2 linked regions of the Schizosaccharomyces pombe genome follow. Changing the gene in region 1 together with any one later gene gives a genetic interaction. Each region holds a gene or a part of one and is shown on either strand. Other genes may lie near its edges. The genes, in order: gmh4 and otg1.

Region 1 (4,866 bases):
CTTTTAAATTTTTTTATTCTTTATTTCAACAATACACTCTTAGATATAATTTTAATCATAATAATTCTCGTCTTAGTTTCTAATATCGTCTTTATACCCAAGTTATCCTTATAATTTATCATATTCAAAATTGATTTTGTTTTCCTTGATTAGCGAGACAGCTTTATAATATTTAAGTAAGAAAAAGACAGCTTCACCTTTGTAAGTATTTAGGCTTTATCGTCGTCCATGCATCAGCAACATATCTGACAAACGGGTCATGGCCGCCAAAAGTATCTCTTCAGGAATGGGATCATTTAGAAAAGAAACTGGGAATGGGTTAAAAGAAATACTTTTGGCAGTGGAGTCTACGAGCTCTTTTTGTACGACATTGTCTTGTAAAACAAGAACAGCATGCCGAAACGAACTTGGTAAACTCGCTTCTAACTCTTTTGAAGTAATAGCTGAAGTCTGACTGTTGATTTGAACAACAAAGTCATATCCACCTTTGTAAGGAGAACTTTTACACAGCTGAGAAGAAAGACATGACCGCACCTTGTAACCCCAATAATGACCACCTTTTTCTCGTGGAGCTGAAAAAGACACGATATCACCTTGAAGCTGGCCTTCTTCGTTTGGAGACTGCGCTTTTAATCGAACCGTGACCCTTGTTCTAGGAGCAAGGACGCTGGGGCTGGAAACGATTACATTGTGAGATAGTCCAGCATTTATAATATATTTATTCTTTGCTTGCGGAGATGGATGAGTAACGATTCCCTCTCGGTATGGGAATTCAATATTCACTGTGCTAGCCTTGTCATTTCTGAGGGGAAGTAATGGAAAGCAGCTAGTATATTTTAGATGTGGATTTAGTGGAAACAATTCCTTCCTCATAAAGAAAGGCGTTTCGAAATAGCATAATAAGTCCGTGAGAAATTTTGTGGGATCCTTTAAATAAGCATCAGAGGAAAGTGTATGTACCTGGGTGTTTTGCACATATTCAGGGTCCTCTAGCAAAATAATTTCGTCAATACCATATAGAGAAACTATTCTCGAAATCTATATTTTGAGTTAATACGCGACAACAACGAATCTTTCAAACCTTCCAGACAAAACTCGTTTTAAGCTGCAAATTGTATGCTACATTTAGACTTGAAATAGGTAATGCTAAAGATATCGTATATCGTCTCGTTGGTGGTAAGCTTTGTATTTCGCTTTCTTTTTCCATAGCAGTTTCTGTAAGCAATTAATGAGAAGTAATAATATGGCCCAAGTAGCAGTATTTTATTTACTTTTTGCTGTCTTGGGAAACAGAATATTAGGATTTGGCTTTTTATAAAAATTTTAACGTCTTAAAAAGTTGGTGAAGAGTAAAGGCATGAATTTCATTTACCAGGCTAAAAACCGTCCATTTAATATAATTAAACTAATTTTAAATTTTTTTTGAAGTATTGATCAAGGTAAAGGGATATTTTATATCAATACTTTTATTGATAGGTAAAAAAAAAAATCCTGTACTTCATAAACAATGAAAAAAATTCAAACAAACAAATGTGTTTAATGCCATTCAATGAGTGCGATTTAAACTATCAATGAGTCTTCGTAAATACCAAAGGGCTATAGAATCCCCTTTTTTTTTTTTTTTTTTTTTCTTTATATGGAAATAATAAAAAAAATGGTGTACACTTTGCTTGCAATTTATATAAACCAACTATACACGCCGAAGCTTGTATATAACCGCTGTAAAAATTTGTTAGTAGAAAAAACAAGATGATATTTTATTAATTACATACATAATTTTTTAAGTCAATAGAAGTTCATCGACTCTGATTCAATTCATCTTCAATCTTACTCTATTTACTATTTACTTTTATGATTTTCGCTATATAATGAGTAGCACCGGGTATAACGCTATAACAGTTTAAAGTATAATTTCAATATCACTAAAAAAATCTAAAAACACGTTAGAGTACGTTAGGTAGGATGCATCGTACACGTTAATCAAAATCCTTCGAATGTCGAACACGCAGACTACAAATACAGCCAAGTTGCTGCCAATTATAAAAGCAACGTTTCTCTGCTCTTAGTACGTGGTTGGGTGGATCCTGATTTCTGTAAAAATCATATTCAATATCAATAACCAGTCCATCTTGACTCGTAGTCTTTGAAACGGTGTAAAAGGATTGTTGTCAGGATAAGCTATAATCTATTGTTGTTTAAATTGTAGAATCTTCCTCTTTTTTAAATATCGCCGATATAGCTTGACAAAAAGGCTCATTTTGAAAGCTAGGCGTTGTGTTCTCGCAAGGTTTCTTTCATTATCCGGTTTTTCGTATTTCTTAGTGAAAACGCCCTCTGTAACATCTTTACTGTTTTAATTTTCGGATATACTCGCGTATATATCGTTGGATCATTTATTTGCATTTAAAAAAGGGCCATATATATTCCATTTTCTTTACGACCCAGATCTTTATACCTTTTTTTCTCTTCTCTATTTATACCTTCTCGATTTACAGATATTCTCTTACCTTCTTTTCTACATTATTTGCACATTTAAAAAACCCCTAAGGTTTATTCTTTTAAACCGTTATCTTGTTCCATAGACGCGCATAACCAACTCATTTTTTCTCGCAAACTGTTTGTTTTGCACTTTTTTACTTTGTATTCTGCAAGATGTTCAACTTTCGTTTATTTTCTCGTAGAGGAAAAAGTTTAGGTCTCTTGGCCATCGTTTTATTGCTTTTTGGCTTTTATTCTTTAAAGTCTTCAATGCCTGTTTATTCCAATTCGATTGGTTCTCCCAGTGCCCATTCCTCTTCATACAAAGGTGTTTCTAAGGCGAAAACATCTCCACAAGATCCTGATTCCGTAGTCATGTTGATTGTTAGTTTTGACGACCATTATGATTCAAGTAGATCTGACTCCAGCTCTGTCTTCCTGGATAAAGTGCTTTCTGATCGTACAGAGTATGCCTTGCGTCATGGCTATACCCTAGTCCACAAGAAAGCCCGCGATATTCAAGCGAGGTATGGTGTCTATGGTACTTGGAGTATTATCCCAGCTTTGAGGGAAACTTTGGCTGAGTATCCCGACGCTGGCTGGATATGGTTGCTCGATGCAAAGGCTGTTATAATGAATCCTTCCGAATCTCTCAAGGATAGGGTCTTGAAACCAGAAAAACTGTCGCAGCATTTGCTTCTTAATTCTCCGATCGATCCATTAAAGAACTACATCCGTACACGCCGTAAAATGGATCCATCTGATGTATTTGTAATTACCACCAGTGATTATAATGGAATTAGTACGCGTTCTTTGCTTATTAAAAATAACAACTTTGCGCCATTTCTTTTAGATGCTTGGAATGAACCTTTGTTGAAATCCGCCGGTTTTGATCAAGCTGAGCGATCTGCGCTATCCCACTTATTGGAAGCACATAACACTATCTTGGATCATGTTGCACTTGTGTCTCCTAAAGTTTTAAATTCATACACCAACTCTGCGGTCGATTTGAATTACGAAGAAGGTGATTTCTTGGTTATTCTTCAGGACTGTGAGAACGCTGCTGCATGCGAGCGTATATTCGAGTATGTATTCTATTTATCATCTTGGTCTCTTGTATTTTTACTAACACTTCCAGCAACTACTATCAACAGAGAAAACTTCCAGCCATTAAAAAGCAGCTTTCGGAAGAAACGGTTGATGAACAATCGTAGGTTAGTACTGTCTTAGCATCTTACTTTCATTTCCAGTAACTCATCTTCATCTAAACCTATCTTTCAAATTCGGTGGTTTGCATATTCCTACATTAATTTAATGAATTTATACTTAATTTCCTTTGTTTGATCAAGGGAAGATATGTTTTTCGTTTACGGAAATACATCGCAGATTGGTTTACAAGTCAAGCAATTCATATGTTATATTCATCAAATCTTCTTAATGAAAGCACGTTAATTGCTATTCTATGCAAAGAAAGAAACATTTATTATGTTTGACCTGAAATCCACATAAACCCAGTTGAATAACATTAATGCATTTCATGGCGACATAGAGACATAGATGCTGTTGAAACATCACTCATGCAAAAAAAAGAGGCTGAAACATTTTTAAAGTAATTATAACTTCAAAATAAATTCTATAAACTAAATGATAAGAATAGATTAGTAACGATAGTGATCAGCCTTGTAAGGACCGTCAACAGGGATACCCAAGTAGTCGGATTGAACAGAAGTCAAAGTAGTAAGTTTGACACCGAGTTTACCCAAATGAAGACGGGCAACCTCCTCATCCAACTTCTTGGGAAGCATATGAACACCAAGAGGATAGCTGGTGTTATCGGTCCACAAAGCGATTTGGGCAAGGACCTGGTTAGTGAAAGAGCAGGACATAACAAAAGAGGGATGTCCGGTGGCACAACCAAGGTTAACGAGACGACCATCAGCTAAAAGAATGATATGACGACCGTTCTTCAATTCATAACGATCAACCTGGGGCTTGATGTTAACAACATCCTTAGCGTTAGCCTTCAACCAAGCGACATCGATCTCGACATCAAAATGACCAATGTTACAAACGATAGAGTCCTCCTTCATTTCGTTGAAGTGCTCACCACGAATAATGTCACGGCAACCAGTGGTGGTAACAAAGATTTGACCTTCCTTAACAGCCTCTTCCATAGTGGTGACTTCGAAACCGTCCATAGCGGCTTGAAGGGCATTGATGGGATCGACTTCAGTGACAATGACACGGGCACCTTGGCTACGAAGAGAAGTTGAACAACCTTTACCAACATCACCAAAACCAGCAACAACAGCAACTTTACCAGCAATCATAACATCAGTGGCACGCTTGATACCATCCACCAAGGACTCCTTGCATCCAAAAAGATTG
Region 2 (4,747 bases), on another chromosome or scaffold:
AAGAATTGTTATAACCTAAAGATGGCACTTATGTTATCCAGGATTCCACGTCGTTTTTTTTTCTTATTTTTAACGGTCGGCTTGATTGCTGGCGCGTTTCTATACTCGTTGATATATTTTGTGGACGTTGATTTGGTGTCGAAGGTTAACCAGTTGTATGATCAGCAAATTGCACCCATGCTCTCCGATGCTATTGGCACTCCATCCGTTAATCACTCGTTTGAGTTGGCGCCGTTAGACTCTCATTTGGTGGCCACAAGCACTACATTCCACGAGGCGTCATACGAGTCAGAGCCTCAGCAAAATCCTGCCAGTCAAAATATTGTCTTATTACTAGTTAGTGATGGACACACTTCTTACAATAATGGAGCTAATACGTTTGAAGAAGCTATACAGAACAGAGTTGACTATAGTACCAAACAAAACTACAACTTTGAGTATGTCAATGTTACTGGCCTCCCTATTCCCGCCGTTTGGTCCAAGATGCCCGCCGTCTTACAAACTATGAAGAAATACCCCAAAGCGGAATGGATCTGGTTGTTGGATCAGGATGCAATTATTACTAATACCCATCTTTCCCTTCAAGACTCCTTTTTGAAACCTGAGAACTTGCAAAAGACCTTAATTACTAATACCATCCTCACTAAACGGCCTATAAATGCTAACGGGGATTTGCGTTATACACCAAGTAATTATAGTTTAAAAGATATCGAAAATCTCATGGTCATAATCTCACAGGATCACAATGGATTAAACGCAGGTAGTATCTTGTTCCGTAATTCACCTGCTACTGCCTTGTTTTTGGATATTTGGACAGATCCTGTTGTTGCAGAATGTGCGAAAGCCAATAATGAACAAGACATGCTTGGATATTTGATTTCTAAGCATTCACAACTTGCTTCGCTGGTTGGCCTTATTCCTCAAAGAAAAATAAATGCTTTTCACGAAGGTCCGGAAAATATGGAATGGCAAAAAGGTGATTTGGTAATTCACTTTGCTGGATGTTGGGTTGAAAACCGCTGCGATGAACTATGGCAAAAGTTTTACGCCTTGATTGACTAAGTTGCTTATTCATTATATCCGTCTGTTTAATTTGTTTGTGTTTTAAAAAATTTTATATATATAAACAAAGCGCCGTATAATTTTCCGTCAATCTTCCTTTCTTTATCTGAATCTCTAATAATGTTTACTATTTTTTAATCTTTACATACCTAATTAATATAGCGGTTGTGCCATAGCAATCAAAGTTTCAGGTTAGTTTTTTATAGCGAGATATCTGGGAGTTTTGTTTTACACAATCGTCCATCAATAATTGTTATATATTGTATATATTTCACATTGACTTTGAAGCTGTTTCTGTTGGTTCAACTAATTTGCTTTGGCAATTTACCAATGCAATATTGAAGATTGGAATAACAGTTTGGCGTTAATAAATCTTTTTAATAATTTGCATTTCACCGCAGCTGCCATTTTCTGTTAAATGCTGATAGAAGTTTTATTGAATCATTCGTGTCGGATTATACTAAGTTTTTATTTATCTTGTTTTTTGGCCCTACAAAGTATTGGTATGTCCTTATTTTATATTGATTACACTGGCTTTTGGCCTTATAAAGATATAGATTAGTTGCTAAGTCTAAAAGATGTATTTTTTAACGGTGGTTCCATTACGTCTGTGCACCCACTGTTTACACTTGTGTCTTTACAAACCTAGAAGCATTTTCCGATTAATGAGGTCTATCAGGTCAAGGAGAAAGAATATTTGAATAGATTTATCGACAAAATATATTTCGTTAAATTTACACAATATTTACTTTACCAATAAGCTAAATGGTATTTCCAATACTTTTCCAGCTAACAGTCAGATTTTTCACTGTTTGAAACAACTTCACCAAATTAATTCATTAGTGTCAATTTCTATTACATGCTTAAGCTCATAATTTTCAACATCCAGATAGCTCGAAAGTTGACACCATTACACACAAACTAAGATGATTGTGAAAAAACAAAGCGTTAGGATTTGTAAAAGGCAATTCCACAATTTGAATTACAATACTGTAACTGAATATAGCGCGGCACATGGTACAAACAACGTGCTGGTAATAAATTGACAAATGCAGAGCAACCCGCGTGATGAAACATAAATCTCGGATATTTTTTCTTTAAAGGGTTGTTAACGCAAGTCGTTTAAGGGTAAAAGAAATAAATAAATTTTAGAGGGTAACATCCTCATAAAGGGAGTCATCTTTAGAGCCTTTTTTCATTTTTTTAAGGCTTTCGAAAATTTCACGTGTCTCAAATTCTATTGTTTCAGCGGTTCGTTGAATTAATCTCTTATCATGTCTCGAATTTCACTTTCAAATTTTTTATCTCTTCCGCGTTACAAATTCCTGTTGTTTTCTGTGGTTTTGATTATTGTGATGACAACCTTAGTGTTTAACGGACACGATTATAAGCAAACCCTTAATGACCGGCTTACTTCATTAAAAAACAACTTTGTTGAGGAAAATGATAATGCCGTCTTAAAAGAAGAGCCTGGCAAATATACGTATATGAGTTTGTTTACTATGCCTTCTACTGAAGAGGATTACTACTTCAACGCTACTAGGGTTTTAATTCACCGATTGAAATATCATCCTACTACCAAAAGTAAATACCCTATCCATATCCTTGCACTCCGTGGAGTAGATGAGTGGAAAATTGAACGTTTTCGAAAGGATGGTGCTTCTGTGATTGTTATAGACCCCATTGCTTCATCGGATATTGTATACGATACATCCTCATTTAGTCAAGAAATATCTGCTAGATATGAACAAATGTTTTCGAAGTTGCGAATTTTCGAACAAATACAATTTGACAAAATTTGCGTAATTGACAGTGATATATTGATCATGAAGAACATTGATGATATATTTGATACTCCTTATATGTACCAACAAATTAATACCTTGAACTATACACGGCTACCTTCCTACACGAAGCCTGATGATGATACCGTCTATCACTTCAATGAGGATTTTAAAGAATATGGTGCCAGTCGAAGCGAATTTTACCCTTATCTTCTCGCAGCCGTCTCTGATAGAGGAGAGCATCATAGTATACCTCCAGAAGATACTCCTTATTTCAATGCTGGCTTAATGCTTATACGTCCAAGCGAGCTTCATTTTAACCGTATACTTAAAATCGGAAGGTTTCCTTATATGTATGAGAATGCCAAAATGATGGAGCAAAGCTTGTTGAATCTTGCATTTTCCTTGGACGGATGGTTTCCCTGGACTCGTCTTGATCCTTATTACAATGGCGTGTGGCCCTCAATTGACGAACGTCCTCTCTTAAAAACAGCACACGGAAAATTCTGGAATATTGGTAGCTCAGAATTTGCACCAGTATATTTAGCTGACTGGTATGCTGCTTATGGCGAAATGCTGTCTTTTCATAAGTATGAAACTCATTAAAGGAGGAATACCTTTCTTTTTTCTGTATTGTGACCTTATTTTACAATTAGAAGTTAAAATCTAATTGTATGTTATATATTTGAAAATTTCTTTAACTTATTACCATAATTTTATTTTAGACTTGCTATCCTTATTGTCTAAACGCACATTGTTTAGATCTCTTCAGCTTTCTTTGATTGCTGGCTATGTATACAACTTTATTACCTGCGTCTGTCTATAAATCCCGTTAGCGGTGATTTGCTTTCGGTCAGCCTATTTTTAGAATATAATTTTGGACTTGCGGTTGATTTTAATATACCTCTCATCTCTCCTTCATTATGGACTCATTAGACCTTATGAACAAACCCCAATTTTAATTATTATCACAAGCGTTTAGCAATTTTTGATGCTTAAACTAGCCTGAGGTCCAAACAGGATAGTTTAATTAGTGTTAGACATTAATATTTTTTAGAAAAAGATACTTTATGTCTAGAGGGTTGTTTTTGAAGCATTTTATAGAATTTATTCTTTTTTAAGAAAATTAATTAGATTTGTAAAAATGTGCAGCTTCATAATTATTTATGGAGCGAATCATTTATGTTTAAATAAGACGGCATTAATATAACGAAGTAAAAGATAAATAGTAATAATAAATTAACTGTAAATGCAATTGAAAATGTTAGAGGCTATAACGCGCCGACACTTGGGCATTGATTTAGCCTTTTAAATTATTTTATCTTTGTATTTAGTCCATAACTCGGCGCATTTGTTTTCAACCCAACATCCAGCGAAATGAAGAGCTAGATCTCCTTCTTGCCATTGCATTGTAGGGGGTCCTTCATGAAAAGCATTGATAAATCTTTGAGGAAGAATGCCAACCATGGAAGCTACCTGCGAGTGTTTTTGAATGAAATAGCCGATCAAATCTTGTTCATGACGCACGACTCCTGCATCTGCCAAAGAAGGATCAGTCAATAAATCCATTAGTAAAGCGATGGATCTTGAATTTCGTACTAAAAAGCTTCCTGCATTCAATCCGTTATGATCCTGAGAAATTAGAAATTGTATTTGTTCTATCATTTCCTTGGAGTAAGCCGCTGGAGTGATTCTGAAATTATCTTCTCCGAAAGAGTTTATAATTGGTTGCTCCCTAAGCAATGATTTTTGGAGCATTGCAGGTGAGAGAAATAATTCCTGTAAGGACAGATTTTTGTTCATTATAAGAGCATCCTGATCTAGCCACCAGATCCATTTTGCGGATGGATACTTGCGCATTGTTTGTAGAATTGCGGGCATCTTTCCCCATACAGGTGGCA

The links.
Region 2: mutations in gmh4 (region 1) and otg1 impair growth when combined (synthetic growth defect), as found in Schizosaccharomyces pombe (one study listed by BioGRID).

Annotation. Positions count from the first base shown.
Region 1 is NC_003423.3:1,387,531-1,392,396, forward strand, and holds gmh4 (alpha-1,2-galactosyltransferase Gmh4), read left to right. Parts: upstream 1-2,005; 5' UTR 2,006-2,652; coding exon 2,653-3,563; intron 3,564-3,616; coding exon 3,617-3,692; 3' UTR 3,693-4,136; downstream 4,137-4,866. Other genes in the region: SPOM_SPBC8D2.16C (uncharacterized protein), read right to left, coding at 217-1,038, 1,082-1,207; SPOM_SPBC8D2.18C (adenosylhomocysteinase), read right to left, coding at 4,137-4,866.
Region 2 is NC_003424.3:165,125-169,871, reverse strand, and holds otg1 (alpha-1,3-galactosyltransferase Otg1), read left to right. Parts: upstream 1-2,132; 5' UTR 2,133-2,336; coding exon 2,337-3,452; 3' UTR 3,453-4,058; downstream 4,059-4,747. Other genes in the region: alpha-1,2-galactosyltransferase Gmh2, read left to right, coding at 22-1,062; alpha-1,2-galactosyltransferase Gmh1, read right to left, coding at 4,155-4,747.